Linked DNA regions of Neurospora crassa OR74A. The protein of the gene in region 1 interacts with the protein of each later gene in a biochemical or structural test. Links are inferred from orthologs where the notes say so. Each region holds a gene or a part of one and is shown on either strand. Other genes may lie near its edges.

The links. The genes of interacting proteins can lie anywhere in the genome.
Region 2: the proteins of NCU07011 (region 1) and NCU03018 form a complex in vitro, tested with the Saccharomyces cerevisiae proteins (2 studies listed by BioGRID, with this or other methods). The link is inferred for Neurospora crassa OR74A from reciprocal best matches to the Saccharomyces cerevisiae genes UTP21 and UTP18.

The regions. Positions count from the first base shown.
Region 1 is NC_026504.1:4,894,624-4,906,098, reverse strand, and holds NCU07011 (WD repeat containing protein 36), read right to left. Parts: upstream 6,289-11,475; 5' UTR 6,225-6,288; coding exon 6,087-6,224; intron 6,025-6,086; coding exon 3,324-6,024; intron 3,199-3,323; coding exon 2,846-3,198; 3' UTR 2,488-2,845; downstream 1-2,487. Other genes in the region: NCU07012 (hypothetical protein), read left to right, coding at 1-1,303; NCU07010 (cortical actin cytoskeleton protein asp1), read left to right, coding at 8,058-8,703, 8,762-9,664, 9,738-11,475. UniProt on the Saccharomyces cerevisiae protein: Involved in nucleolar processing of pre-18S ribosomal RNA and ribosome assembly.
Region 2 is NC_026501.1:8,426,037-8,429,636, reverse strand, and holds the start of NCU03018 (small nucleolar ribonucleoprotein complex subunit), read right to left. Parts: upstream 2,194-3,600; 5' UTR 1,908-2,193; coding exon 36-1,907; 3' UTR 1-35. Other genes in the region: NCU03019 (hypothetical protein), read right to left, coding at 2,452-2,763, 2,827-3,110, 3,188-3,341. UniProt on the Saccharomyces cerevisiae protein: Involved in nucleolar processing of pre-18S ribosomal RNA and ribosome assembly.

The DNA of each region.
Region 1 (11,475 bases):
TACCGAGTACGAAGGGGATTACGATACGGACATTGCTTCCTCTGTTCCTCATAAGGATGCGCTGAAGTCTCATCAACGTGATACGAGTTTTGACGGGCCCGCGTCGCCACGCTCGCCCATGTCCCGCCCACCTCCTCTTCCCCCGACATCACCACCGAGAGCCGGTCCCCCTCCTGTTCCACTCATGTCTCCACTAGAAAGCCGCAAGTCTGTCGACGTGCCACGCGCGGCCCCTCCGCCTCCTCCGACGCAAGAGATGCCTCGATACGGGGAAGGAGACTTCGACCCTTACAACTATTCTTCGCCGACTCACGGATCATCGTCGATACCGTCCTTCCCTTTGCCTAATTCGCCTCCGTCTGAGCCATACTCTCCTGAGACCCCTTTCCACGGGACCCCTCAAAATCCAAGGGCTCCTCCCCTGGCGCCGCCCGGTAGTGGCCGCCCGTCGACCCGGCAGTCGATGGATACCTCGCGTTCAAATTTGCGGCGGTCTGTAGATTTGACGCGGCCATCAATGGAATCAGGCTTCGTTGCTAACGACATCGACCTGGCCAGCCAGTCGACTTGGTGGCTACAGCCCAAGAGCCTCCCCCCACCTCTTCACGGACGCAAGGACATCCTCTTTGAGTCTGAGGAGTCTACCGCGTCTGACCCCCACTCTGGTAAGACTATTGTCACCCGGGACATCTACGTCTTGTTCCAGGATTACTCCCAGACCGTGATCACCGTTCGCTTCAACTCTCAAGACCCGTCCGACGTCGAACTTGAGCAGCGCCACGAACCCCCTCCCCGCACCCTGCGTCAAGACCAGCTTGAGCAGAGCTACGAGCGCTTCGGACGGGCTATCAGCGAGGCCGTGTCCGGTAAGAAGGAAACCGTCGTCGGTGACGGTACTCCCCAAGCACTGATCTACGAGCTCCTCCGTCCCTTCAAGGACGCCCTCCTGCCCGTCGGCACGCGCGCCTATGGCGCCCTGGTGTACTCCAACCTGGCCAACGCGAGCACTACTCAGAACGACGAGATCCGCCCCGGCGACATCATCTCCGTCAGAAACGCCAAGTTCCAGGGCAAGCACGGCGCCATGCATGCCAAGTATACCATGGAGGTTGGTAAGCCAGACCACGTCGGTATCGTGGCCGAGTGGGATGGCACCAAGAAGAAGGTCAGAGTGTGGGAGCAGGGTAGAGAGAGCAAGAAGGTCAAGGTCGAGAGCTTCAAGCTTGATGATCTGAGGAGTGGTGAGGTCAAGATTTGGAGAGTCATGCCCAGGAGCTGGGTCGGCTGGGAGGGAGGGAACTAGGATTAGGATTCCTCATCGACCGGTGATGGGCCATTGACGACGCTGAACTCTGAGGAGAGTCTGTCCATAACTGAGGCAAGGAGAGTCGAGCGATTCAGTGGAATCGGTAGTGTATTTGGTGTTTTGGCGAGTGGTAATTGCAAGGTGAGAAGGCTGCGGGCATTGAGAAAAGATCAGGTTCTTTGAAGTTACAGCTGCTGCATGCAGCTGTTCTTCTTTGCCCCAACGTTCTCTCTCTCCTTCTTTTGTGTGTAAGTATTTTGCGTGTTTGCTTGGTTGTCATAAGAGGGGTCAGCGACGGAAGAAGGAAGTGGGTGGAAGTGAAGGGAGCTTCTGTGAGAGGTGGGGTGATGATGATGCTGGGTGGTGGGAGAAATTTTGTCTTTATTACAAGTCATCACGCACTACTGAACTCGAAGTCATAATAAGTTTTCCCCCCATACATATAAATCAAAACAAATCACAGACACACTGATTGGCAGCTATAGTAACAGCAATTTATCTTTGAATTTGCGTATTTAGCATTTCTAGCATAGTCTATGTCTTATACTGTCGTTGAATTATTTCCTAACTTTGCCTGGCATCATCCCGTGATACCACAAACTACCTATCCGATGTTACGCGGTCGGTTCTGGTGACGGTCGGCAAAACTGAAAACATAGAGACAACGACCTCCAGAAGGTCTCGAGATAATTGAGACAAAACGAGGGAGGATGAGAAACTTCTGTTATTTATTGACTACCTGAAATGAGGAAAAAAAAAAAAAAAAAAAAAAGGGACCCAGCCGTACTACCATTTACCAAGCACCACGTAAGTATCTAACGTAACTCATAGCCGATCGATAACTCGATCGACGAGAGTATCTTACTTAAGTTACTTACTTCATCAAGCGCAATAAATGTCTTGCATCCAGTCGGTAACCATCCCGATACGTGTATTTCATCTGGTTTGATATCGAAACATCGGTGGTGGGACTCGTACAAACAGACAGACAGACAGACCTAACCACTCACTCAGCTTTATAATGAATAACAACAACAACAATATATACATAACAATTCTAATCGCGCAATGCGTTTATCTAGGTACCATACCTTTCATAGGGAACCGAACCGTTTTACAAATTCAGACGAGGAAGTTAGGAAGTACCATAGTAGATTCAGTTGACGTGACATGACAAGAGAGATAGATGTACTGGTATTGGTTAGGTATACGTCGATAACACTTTTTATCTATCCCAATTTTTCCCATTCATCCAGCCATCCATCCATCCATCCTAGCAAATAAGAGATAAACATGGGCTAGTTGTTTAAAAGAAAAAAAAAAAAAAAAAAAGACCCATAATGTAAATACTATCAAAAATAGATCGGATTCGCTCATATCATATGTTCCACAATCCCAACCGACTTTTACAGCTACTCACTCGCTCATAGGTAGCCATCATGCAAGCCTTCCCTTTCCCTTCCCCTTTCCCTTTCCCTTCCCTTTTCCTTCCCTCCTTTCCCATCCCTCATCTAGACTAAGCTGGACCCATGTCTATGGTTATGTCCTAGGACTCCTCAAGAACCCAACCACACCACCACAGTAGCCCACCAAATCATCCAACCGCTTCTTTTCCCTTTCCTGCTGCTCCTTCCACTTGCCCAACTCCTTCAGCAGCGTCTCGCTCTCCATAATCACGTCAAAGTGCAGTCGCAAAAAGACCGTCATCCACGCTTGCGTGAGCTCGTAGTCGCGGCGTTGGGCGAGGCGTTGCGTCATGGCGCGGATGAAGTGGAGGAGTTCGTTGCTATCTTCAGAAGACTCCGGATCAAGGCCGCCGATGGAAAGGGAGCGGAGTTCGAGATCGGCGGTGGAGGGGGAGAGGGATTTGAGGTGGGTGATGAAGGGGGTGTCTATCAAACGGTGATGGTTAGTAAAATAAACCGGATGAAAAAAGGGAAGTAATAAAAGAAAGGGAAAAAAAAAAAAAAAAAAAAAAAAAAAAAAAAAAAAAAAAAAAAAAAAAAAAAAACCTTACAATCACCCGTCTCGGCACCCTCCAACAACTTTGCCGTAAACGTCTGATACGTCCTTGTCGTCTCGAGTTGCGTCAATTTCGAAATTCGGCTCTCCTCCTCATCCTTCTTTTCGCCCTCCGTCAACAGCAGTGGGTTCGTCGTCCCATCCCGGAGCGAAGGCAAAAAGAAGGGCGCCTTCTCAGGCGCCTTGGGCGGCTCCTTGGGCTTGTTGCGCTGCTTGATCAGGTCAATGTGCAGCAGCGTCTGCCACCTGCTTTTGGGCACCAGACTGAGCGTCACCATGTCGGCGCTGAGCTGATCGAGGACCGGCGCAGACACGCCCTCATCTTCTTCGTCCTCCTGTTCATCCTCAAAGGCCGCCTCGATGAGACCTTGACCGCCCTCGCCTGAGCTGGTAGGTCCGGCCGAGATTTCGGCAATGTCTTTCTCGGATATTTGTCTGGTCGGCACGTGTCTGAACAGCGTTCTGTTGGTCCAGATGTGCACGCCCAGCTCGCCCTCGGTGGCGCCGGCGAGGTATTCGCCCGTGTTGGAAAAGGCGATGGCGGTGCAGGGTTTCTCGAGCCGGAAGGCGTCGATGAGGTGAGCCGTCGGCAGGTCCCAGACGCGGACGACGCGGTCCTGCGAGGCGGCCACGATCCACCGGCCGTCGTTGGAGAAGGTGAAGTCGTTAATGGTGTCGCGGCAGCCCCAGAACTCTCTGATGGTCTGCTTGGTCTCGATGTCGACAACGCGGATCGAATTGTCGTCGCACGCGAAAGCGATGAGATCGTTGCCGGCGTGGTAGCGACAGCCCGTGATCTGCACCATGGGCGCCCAGTCAATCTCGTCGACTAGGTTGCCCGTGACAAAGTCCCAGAACTTGACGGTGCCGTCGAGAGAGCAGGAAATCACGAAGCGGTTTAGCGGGTCGACCACGATGCCGGTTACGGACTTGGTGTGCTTGCCCGAGCCGGGGGCAAAGGAGGTCTTGGAGGAGGCGCGCTTCTCGAGCTGGCTCACCTTGTCGAGAGCCTTAAGTTGCTGCATCTTCAACTGGCGCATCTGGGCGGGAGTGAGTCGGGAGGGGAAGCGTTGCTTGTGACGGCCGGATTGGAGGTTGAACATGTCTAAGCTACCACCAACGGAGCCAACAAGAGCGAAACTGCCGCAAGGGCTGATAGCCACGGTAGAAACATTTTCGCCATCTCCGGTCTTGAACGCCCACCTACCAGCACGCTTGCGGCCCCAGAACCAGGTGCGAGCCCAGGGGTCGTTCTTATGAGCTGTTACTACGCTTTCCCAGCCGGTCATAGCAGCGAGCTCGGACTTGGTCGGCTTGCTCTTGTCATTGCCCTTGTCCCAGATGACCTGCCTACCGGGCATAGCGCCCATGCCGCCATCGCGGTTGAGCGAGGAGGCGATGCATGTGATTTCGGGAGCCTTGAGGTCGTCCAAAGATGTAGTCGGGCCGTGGCCGCCGAGGGCGGTATTAGCAAGAATACCCACCTTCTTGGCCTTTTTGCGAAGAGCACCCTGACTGAGCTCAGAGCTCTGGCCATCGCGGCGCAAACTCCAGCCCCACAGACTCCTGTCCTTGCCACCACTGAGAAGCCACTTGTTGCCGGCCTCGGCGCCATCGAAATCGGTTGGCAAGAATTGCAGGCAGTTGACGGGGGCGGCATGGCCGCTGCGCATGTGAAGGATACGGGGGACGGGCGAGAAGGGCGATTCGTCGAAGATCCAGGACTTGAGCGAGTTGTCCAAACCACTGGTCATGATAACGGGCTGTCCTGGGAGGAACTCAACCTTGCTGATGCCTCCGCGCACAGTCTTGTCGGTGTGTGATGGGGGATTATGGGCGCTCCGGAGTACACCCATCACTCTGCCGCCCTTGTTGAGATCCCAGAATGTGACATCTCCACCAATGCTTGTGGCGGTAGCCATGACGCCATCTTTTGTACCATCTTGACCAGCACCCTGACCGTCGGTTCGGAAGGAGATGCTTGTAACGGGGGCGTGTTCGGATCCGGCCATCAACTTGAGGGAGGCCTTGTCGGTAAGGACGTTGTGGATGACGAGAGGGCCGTTCGAGTAGGCGATGGCGAGAAGCGAAAGTGCCGGGGTAGGCTCCATACAGGTGACAGATCCAGCGTCGGGAGAGGGCGGAAGGATGGTGTAGATGAGCTTGCCGGTGCTGACGTTCCAGATCTCTACCCAACCGTCCTTGCGACCGACCAAGATCTTGTTGAGGAAGGTAGGCATGTTGACTACGCCACCAGTGAGCTCGTTGTCGCCCTTCTTTGCGGCAACGGAAAAGATGGTCGTGTAGTGTTCGAGGGTGGCCGACTTCCATACTTCGAGGCGGGTTTGGGCGCATGCAACAATCCAGGAACCGAAGATGAGGATCTGCTTGATGGGCTGGTTGAGGTCGGCGGGCAGCTCAAGCTCGGCTACCTTCTTTCCGCGCTGATAAACCCAGATACCTTGGGCCTCGCCATTTTGAGGGTTACCCCAAGCGGCGAATACCTTTTCCTTCCAAGCATATGTGGCGGTAATGTCGGCGGGAGTCTGGGGGCGGGTAACGAAGACGAGATTGAGACCTCTCTTTAGGTCATAGGTCTGGAGGGAGCGGCCGACCGAGGTAGTGATCTGGAAGGTGGTCTTGCCGAGAGGGATGGAGGTAAAGGGGACGCTTGTTGGAGATACCAAGCCTACAGTCTATGAGTGGTGAGTTTGGTGTTAGTTTGAGGACTTCATGCGACCGGCTATTAGGGACGTACTCTGAAGGGAGCAAAGATGGAGGAACCCTTCTTCTTCTTCTGAGGCGCCTTGGACTTGACGACAGAGGCATTGAGCTTCTGCCGCTTGGCGGATGTGATTTCGCGATCGGAATGCGGCATCATGTCGTCGAGTGGCATATGCTGCCAACTACCACGATGTCTGCGAATGCCTTTCAGTTGCAAAGCCTTGTTGAAAGTCGCAGTTTGAAGATTTCGATAATAGTAGCCTTGTCGCGGTGGACCAGAAATTTTCAGCCACAGTTTGGGGTCGGTTGGGGCAGGCAAGTGGGAGCTTCATGTGATTGGTCTGCCTCGCCATGTGGGGTAGCATGAAAGCTGGACGCATGTGGGACCACCGTCTGGCTAGGACCCACAGAGCTTAAATCCAGCACTGTGTATCTGTGTACTGCATAGTAGGAACCTCCTGCGATCCCGGCCGCATTTTGCAGCCTTTCAGTTACCGGGATTACCGTTTCCCATCATCGCAGAAGTCGAGACTGTGTTCCAAACTGCAGTAAACCCCACACCTCCATCTGCCCCGCCAACTGGGCGAAAAAGCTCTTGCTTGTGAAACACAGCACAGCACAGCACAGCACAGCATCACCATCCCCTGTCCGCTTCAGCGTCGAAATGCTAGGTTGCCTGCGGCGTCATCATCCCGTCCATCGAACCCACCTCAGGTCGTCCACCCATAGAGGTACCACGGCATACGGTTCGCAATGACACCCACCTTCAGCGTTCTTCTGGATTTTCTCTGCGGCTATCGCAGTATATCATAGGGCGCCAGCAAGGGTTTAGTTTGGCATGACACCCACCTTCTGGTACCAGTAGTCAACGCGCAATGGGCTCTTTGGTGTCCATCATTGTCGATCACTAGAGAGGTTTTTTTTTTCCTGTGTCTATCCAAGCACGCCAATGACGAAAGAGACTGGACCTCCAGTTATGACGACGAAGTGGCTGTAAATATAACCGAATTAGACAGTCCAACACGGCTCGCTTTAGTCAGGAAAGGCCATCACAGAATTTCGAGAGGGATGGTAAAAAAAAAAGTCGAAAAGACATCAGCCAGAGTTACCTGGGAATTTCTCCATGCAAAATTGCCTGAGAGTTAGTCTAGTTTCCAAAGGTAGCATGAAAAGTGTATTCTAACGACCATTCATTCGGTTGATGGCCATGTAGTACCCGAGAAAGTGCCAGCCTTTCTGCCATGAGCTACCAAAACTCCGGTGTAAGGGAATGAACTAATGGTGGGATCCAGATGCACTTACACGTAGACGTTCAGAATTGGGACTAGTAGGTACTACCGGGTCCGTTTATGGAAATTGCCCACATGCCGCCTTTCCCTCTTGCTTTCTTTCTTTTTTTTTTTTTTTTTTTTTTTTTTTTTTTTTTTTTTTTTTTCCTTTCTCCCTCCCCGCGCAAACAACGCTTGGGCATCATCCCAACTTGGGCTACCTACCTAGCTGTTGTCTCTGCTCGTGTCGCCACAAAGCTATCCACCTTTGTCCAGTTGTGTACCAATGGCTTTCTTGATGATTACATGTTGTTCTTATGAGCTGTGCTTGGATGACAACTGAAACATCCATCTGGAGCTAGAGGGAGGGGGAAAAGGGAAGAAGAAAAGGATCAAAGACAGATTGACATCCCCATCTCCCGTCGTCGAAACACTTGCGGTTATCAATTGCTTAGTTCAGTTGGGACCTTGAAAGCCATTGGGGCCCAATCGCTCTAACCTCTATCTTCTTTCCTTTTTCTTTTATCCTTTATTTGCTTTGAGGAGCTGTCCAGTCTAGTCTAGACATCCACCAAATAAGAAGTGCAGTTCCCCGTTTTCTCCCAATCCAAGCGACGCCCAACATCGAGTCCATTGGGCGGCATCACAATAGTCTAGCCGATCATCACCACTGCCACTGCTATCGCCGACGATATATAAATCCATAGGCTGCACACCTGCAGCTTCCCGCAGGAGCCATGGAAGCACACCTCGAACCCACCTCCCTCGATCGTACGCCAGTGTCCGCCGACAGCGTGCCGTCCTCCGCCTCCGAAGCTTCCTCTTCCACTCATCCGGACCAAGACCCAGACACTCCTGTCGCGACATCAGAAGCAGCAACCGGCGGCTTGGACGTGCCTGTAGAAGAAGCCGAAGACATGGCAGGCACACCGTCGTCGAGCATCGCAGTCCCTGGCGCCATCCCCATCACCAGTGACAGCGGCATCACAAGTACCGGAAAATCCAAACGACGACACAGTCTCGCCTCTTCCTTTACCAACAGCATAGCTAGCCGAAAGAGCAGGTACTCTGAGCCTGGCAGCCAATCTGTTCATGCTGATCGCGCCAATGTGTCGATGCCCCCTCCCGTCGCCCTGCCACAAGCATCGTCGTCATTAGCAAAGAGCCCGCGCGCCTCGCTCTCGCACAGCCGCCGCGAATCGTCCAATTCGTTCCGCTCCTTCATCTCGGACGCCTGGAGCGACGCAAATAACAGCCAAGGATACTCGGACTTGGGTGGTGGAGTACATGTGCCCGGCAGCTTTGGCAGCGCCTCGGCGGTCCCACCCCTGTTTTCTCCCCGAGATTTCGCCTTGGCCGCCGGCGATAACGGCCAGAATCAAGGTCAGAGTCATAATCATTCTTGCTCCACTACCGTCATCACTAATTCCGTCCGGTTCAGCTACGATCGAAGACTCGGAGACTCCCCGTCTACGCCCCGGGACCGGTAACACGAACGCCGAATCACCTCAACCACCACCACCACAACAACAACAACAACGCCAACTCCCCGATCCCGCTCTGCAGAATCCCACTACTCCCACCCAACGCGAATACCCCTACCACTCCCGCCGCAGAAACTCGTCCTTCTTTGGCTTCGAGTACAGCCAGTCAGACAGCAACAAGCGAAAGAGTATTTCGTCCATATACTCTCTAGCTTCGGCCCGTGGGGTTCCCAGTTCCGAGAGCGGCAGCACCAGCGGCGCCACCGGCCCTGCCCGAGTGGTATCAGGCTTGATGTCTTCCTCCGCCCCCTCCAAATCGGGAGCCATCCCACCTGCCAGCACCGCCCAGACTGCAGAAGCCAGCGTCTCGACAACCACCGTTACCACGGGAAGCCAAGGCGCGCCAGGCACCCACCAGCTCTCGCCGCGGGAATCGCATTTTCAGCAGATGGGCGACTTGCTCAAGGATGGCCAGAGCAGGGGAAACCATCACCATACTTCGCAGGCCCACGGCCACGGTGTTCCTGCTCCTGTGGACACGGCTGTTGCTAACGGCGCACCACCCGCACCACCCACACCGCGCGCAATTCCACCCAGGTCAAGGAGCAGGGCAAAGCGCAGGTTCAGTGGTAGTACCGCTGCTAGCGGAAATCAGAGTCCCAATGGTGAAAGAGTGGTATCAGGCCATGAACACCGGCCTCCCAAGGAGGAGCACAAGCCTGCGCCCTACGGTGTTATCGGTGTGTGTGCCTTGGACGTGAAGGCGAGGAGCAAGCCCAGCAGGAATATCCTCAACCGCTTGATTCAGAACGGCGAATTTGATGTTTGTGTCTTTGGCGACAAAGTGATTCTTGATGAAGGTGCGTCGACCCTGCGCTGTTGCCGCATCATCATGGACGAGGAACAATGACTAACTGTTGGGTGGTGATGCAGAGGTCGAAAACTGGCCCATGTGCGACTATTTAATCTCCTTTTACTCGGACGGCTTCCCCCTTGACAAGGCCATCGCCTACGTCAAGGCACGCAAGCCCTTCTGCGTTAACGATGTCCCTATGCAAAAGATACTATGGGACCGCCGCCTCTGCCTTCGCCTCTTGGACCGCATCAATGTCCCCACCCCTCAGCGCATCGAAGTGAACCGGGACGGTGGCCCTCACCTGTTGACCCCCGAAATTTGCAAGCTCATCAAGGACGTCAGCGGTGTACAGTTTGAGCCCACTAATACGGATCCAGAGTACGCCAAGCAGGTCGCGCCGCGCAAGATCGAGCTCCTCGAAAACGGCGATGTTCTCTCTGTCGACGGAACGCTCATCAAGAAGCCGTTTGTCGAGAAGCCTACGAGCGGTGAAGACCACAATATCATCATCTACTTTCCTTCCTACGCTGGCGGTGGTGCAAGGAAGCTTTTCCGCAAGATCGGCAACAAGAGCAGTGAATATGTGGAGGATCTCAACGTGCCCAGGTGCATCACTCAGCCCGACGAGAGTTTCATTTACGAAAAGTTCATGCAGGTCGACAATGCCGAGGACGTGAAAGCGTATACTGTTGGGCCAACATACTGCCACGCTGAGACTCGCAAGTCCCCTGTTGTGGACGGCGTCGTGCGAAGAAACACGCATGGAAAAGAGGTCCGCTATGTCACAGCCTTGAGCGACGAGGAAAAGGAAATTGCGAGCAAAATCAGCACAGCCTTCGGACAACGCGTTTGCGGTTTCGACTTATTGCGGGCGGGGGGCAAGAGTTATGTCATTGACGTGAACGGCTGGAGTTTCGTCAAAGATAATGAGGACTATTACAACCAGTGCGCCAAAATCCTCAGGGAAATGTTTATCGCCGAGAGGCAGCGCAGGGGTGGAATACCTTCGCCGTGCCCGTCTCCCGCCATCTCCGAGGTGCCTGATCCTCTTGCCGCTCGCGCAGCTCTCATGAACAAGGAGAAGGAACTCAGCGCGTTGGCGGCAGCCCAGGGTAAGGTGAGCTTGGACAAGCAGAGGTCGGACAACACCAGACACCACGATGCGCCACCGCACGTCAAGTCAGATACCTCGCTTGTCTCTAAGCTGTCAACCAAGCCGAGCAGCCCGCGCAACAGTCAGTACGGAGAGAGTGCACCACCCACAGCGCCATCAACGCTGCCCACTACCCCTTCGCTCACTTCTGTCGCTATTGCTGAACAGGAGCATGAGCATGAGGAGACACCGCCGCCGCCTCCCCCGAAGCCTAGCTGGAAGCTCAAGGGTGTGGTATCTGTCATCCGCCACGCTGATCGTACGCCGAAGCAGAAGTACAAATTCACGTTCCACACAGATCCCTTCATTCAGCTACTCAAGGGTCACCAAGAAGAAGTGCTCCTGATTGGTGAGCCGGCGCTGGCAAGTGTACTTGATGCTGTTGATGTGGCCCTGAAGGCTGGTATTGAAGACCCCGTCAAGCTCAAGTCACTCCGCAACGTCCTTGTGAAGAAGGGCGGATGGGCTGGTACCAAGGTCCAAATAAAGCCAATGTTCAGGAAGAAAGACAAGCCCAAGAAGGAAGACAAAGAGAAGGAGGGCGAAAAGCCTGACCAAGAGGCCAAGGAGGATGCTGCACCCGGTGAAGGTGACAGTGTCGACAAGGACGGTAACTCCAAGCCTCGTAGGCCAGTCAAGAGGCACGATTCCTTGTCAGGCGT
Region 2 (3,600 bases), on another chromosome or scaffold:
TATCGCCAACTCAACGCACTACACAATGCGCAGATCTAGCTCCTAATCTCCCACATCCTAATCTTGCCCACATCATTGCCCACCGCCAACACATCACCACCATTCTGGTGGCTAAACGCCACAGCAGTGATCCTACCCAAAGGCGTTTGCTCCGTAGGCCAGTTCCTGTAAACGGTGCAGCTAGGCAAGTGCACCAGCCTTAACGCGTCCTTCTTGTGGAAGCTACCAAACGCCAATAGCTGACCGTCCGGCGCGAACGTCACCACTGAGATGGGCGTCGTGAGCTGCTCAAACGTCCTCTGCGGGGTGGGGATGCTCTTAATCTGCACTGTCTCCTCCTTGGACGCCGACGCACCACCCTCCTTCTTAACAGGCTCAACCAAATCATTCCGATCGTAAATGTTCATAATGCCGCTATTCGAGCCCACAGCCACCCAGCGATCGCCACCAATCTGGCTAGGGCCGGTGCCCTTCTGCCCGCCCAGCGCAATCACCGTGCCGCCGATCGATCCTTCGTCGCGCCAAACGCCGACCGTGCGCCGGCTGAGCATGCTCCACTCAGTGACCTGGCCGTTCTTGCCGAGGATGGAGAGGCCGTTGCCGTTGCCCCACCAGGCGAAATCGGAGATGCCGCCGCGGCCATTGGTGCGCGCCTGCGCAATCCACTGCATCGTGCGCACGTTGACGATGTTGATCATGCCGCCGCCCTTCTTCTCGGAGGCGATGAGCCCCAGGTAGCGTCCGCAGGGCGAGGGACGGAAGTGCTCCATGGTACGCTGCTCGCGCTGGTGGCCCTGGATCTGGGTGATCTTCTTGACGGCACCCGACGAGAGGTTCCAGCTGTGGAAGTAGCGCCGGCGACCGGCGAAGATGACGTCGTCGCCATCGGGACCGAGGAACTCGGAGCGCCGAAGGTCGGTGCGCTTGACTTGCACCGACGTGAGGGCCGGGTTCGGAACCGGGTGCGCGGTCGGGTCAACTTGGTGTAGGTACATGATGGAGGAGACGCTGCACGAGAGCAGGATGGGGTGCTTGGGGTGGAAGGACAACGAGCTGACGGACTGCTTGTGAATGTCGGGGATGTCGCGCGAGCGCTGAATGTCGATGGTCTCGGGGCGCAGCTTGCGGCGCTTGCTGCCACGGGCATCGGCGCTGGCGTTGAAAGAGTTGACGTCGCGGAGGAAGGTCTCGAGAGGGAGGGCGGATTCGATGTCGTCTTCGGCGTCACTGTCTTCCTCGGAGGAGGAACCGGCGGCTGAAGATCTTCTCCTCCGGCGCTGGCTGGCGGCCGAGGATTCCTTGGCCCACTCCGGAAGGGGGTATAGTCGGAGGTACTGCGAGCGCAGGCGGCGCGCGTACTCGGTGCCGTTCACGACATCCTCCTCTTCGGACTGACGCAGCTTGCGCAACCGCGAGGCAGCCGCAAGGGATACTGTCAACCGCTCGTCATCGCTGTCCTCCCACGCTGGGGGGTCCTCCTTCTGCTCGTAAGCCTCTAGCGCAGAGGGCGCGGCCTCTGTCTGCTTCTTATTACCGGGAACGCCAGTATCGAACGCGAAGAGGGCGTTATCGTCGACATGTTCGAGGCCAGTCGTGTCATCTTGCTTGTCGGTCCTAATGAGAGCCTTGGAATCGGTAATATCGGCGAGGAAATCGTCGCGGAAAAGCTGGGCGCGGAAGGTGTCGTTATTGCCCAAGACGAATCGTTCGAGGTCTTCTTCGTCAGAGTCCTTCTCTTCAATATCGTACTTTTTCCTCGGGTCGGCAATTGAATCCATATCGGAGTCGTCCTCGTCGTCGTCGTCTACTGACATGCCATCATTGTCGTGCATCTCCTCATCGCTCTCCTCGTCGAATCCGACGAATTCGTTGTCGTCGGAAACTTCGTCTTTCGTCTGTGGCGCCATTTTGTTCTGATTTAGGAGATTGCGCAAAGCCCAGTAACGGGAACTTTTGCTGTGAGATCCGGTCCTGGTTAAATGGAGTTGAAATGGACGGAAATGCCACGACCAGTCGCTAGTGTTTGGTTTGTTTTGAGGTTGGGAACTTTTTTTTTCGTTATCAGCCTTGCAGATCGCAGATCCTGTCCCACTTAATCTGGACCCACTTGCTATCACAAGCACGCCAGCCTTGTTCAAGGAATAAGTTTGAAGTACCCCTACAAAAAAAAAAGTAAAAAAATAAACATATATTAAACTTATCTGATGCCTCAATGCTACTTTCATTAACAATATCTTTGTGATGAAGATGACTTTATGTGAACTCATTCGAAGACAATAAATCTGACCAGACACGAACTAGTACTAAAATTATGAGCCACGCAGAGCAAATATATGATTTCAAAAAGAACATATGCATGAAGAGTACGTGGTGTTTTGGTATCCTTGCAGATGATTCTATGTCATCTCACAGCCACCTTTTTGATTATTGGACGACAAGCAAGTCTAGAGCCTAGCTTAACAACAGAGCACAGCTAATGCCCACCACACACAACAAGTTAAGTGCATGCTTGCAGCTCGCCAGCCCAGCACCACTACCAACATTCGACGTCTCAATAACCGTCGAATCACCAGGAGCAAAGAGGGCGCCGAGTTCGTTAGTGTCTGTCCAATCGATGTCCTCGGGCGCCAGTAACGGGTTATCAAGTGATTGGCAAGACGGGCGGTCGTCGCTTTTGCTGATGCTGTTGGTCACAGAGACGGGAAGATCAAATATCGTGTAGTGGTTCTCGCCATTGAGTCTGAAGCGTTGGTGGATGGAGATCTTTTGAATTGTCAGTGAAATGGCTATCAACACACTCTTAAGCTGACTATTTGGAAAACCCACATTGTAACTGCCACGATCGTTCCCATTCGTACCATCGCCAACCATGCAGTCGGGCCATGTCCACCGGACATGCTTCACGGTGCTACCAGGCTCGGAGAGCATGATATCACCGAGTGTGGCATTGTTGGCCGACGCAGTACCGTTGGTGATGGTCAAGTTTCGGCCCGTTACGTAGCTGTAAAGGAAGATGTTGATGTTGTAGATTTGGCTGGAAGCGTCGTCGCCGTAGGGCGGTAGAGGAAGCTTGCCATTGGCAGAAACATCGAGCGCAATCTCGACATTGTCTACACAAGTTGAAGCTTATTAGTAGCAAGTCCTCAAGTCCTTTGCCGACAGCCAGCCGGGTACTAATAGTACTAACCTCCGCCAAGAGGCGTGTCCGGCTGGGGGGAATCGACGATAACAAAACCAGGGGTGAAAATCTGGCCATTGCTAACGGTAAAGTTGCTCGCAAGACCCTTAGTCGCAAAAAGTGCCGCAGCTGCAAACACAGCGAGAGACAATGATTGTGTCATTCTCAGCAATGTGATTCAACGATCTCGGCGGGTCAAGTCCTTGGAATGCGAAGGGAGCTAAAAGAAAAATGCACTTGTCAAGGAGTAGACCGGACAGCAACTGGGCGTATCCTGGATAAGACAGACAGCTAACTAACCTAACGTATGGATGAAAAGATCTTCAGATTGACGTTTTCGAAAAGGAGAGAAGATAAGAGATGGGAAAGGGAAGCACAAGTATGTAATAAGGAAATCAGAAAGCTTCCAAGATACTGCCGTG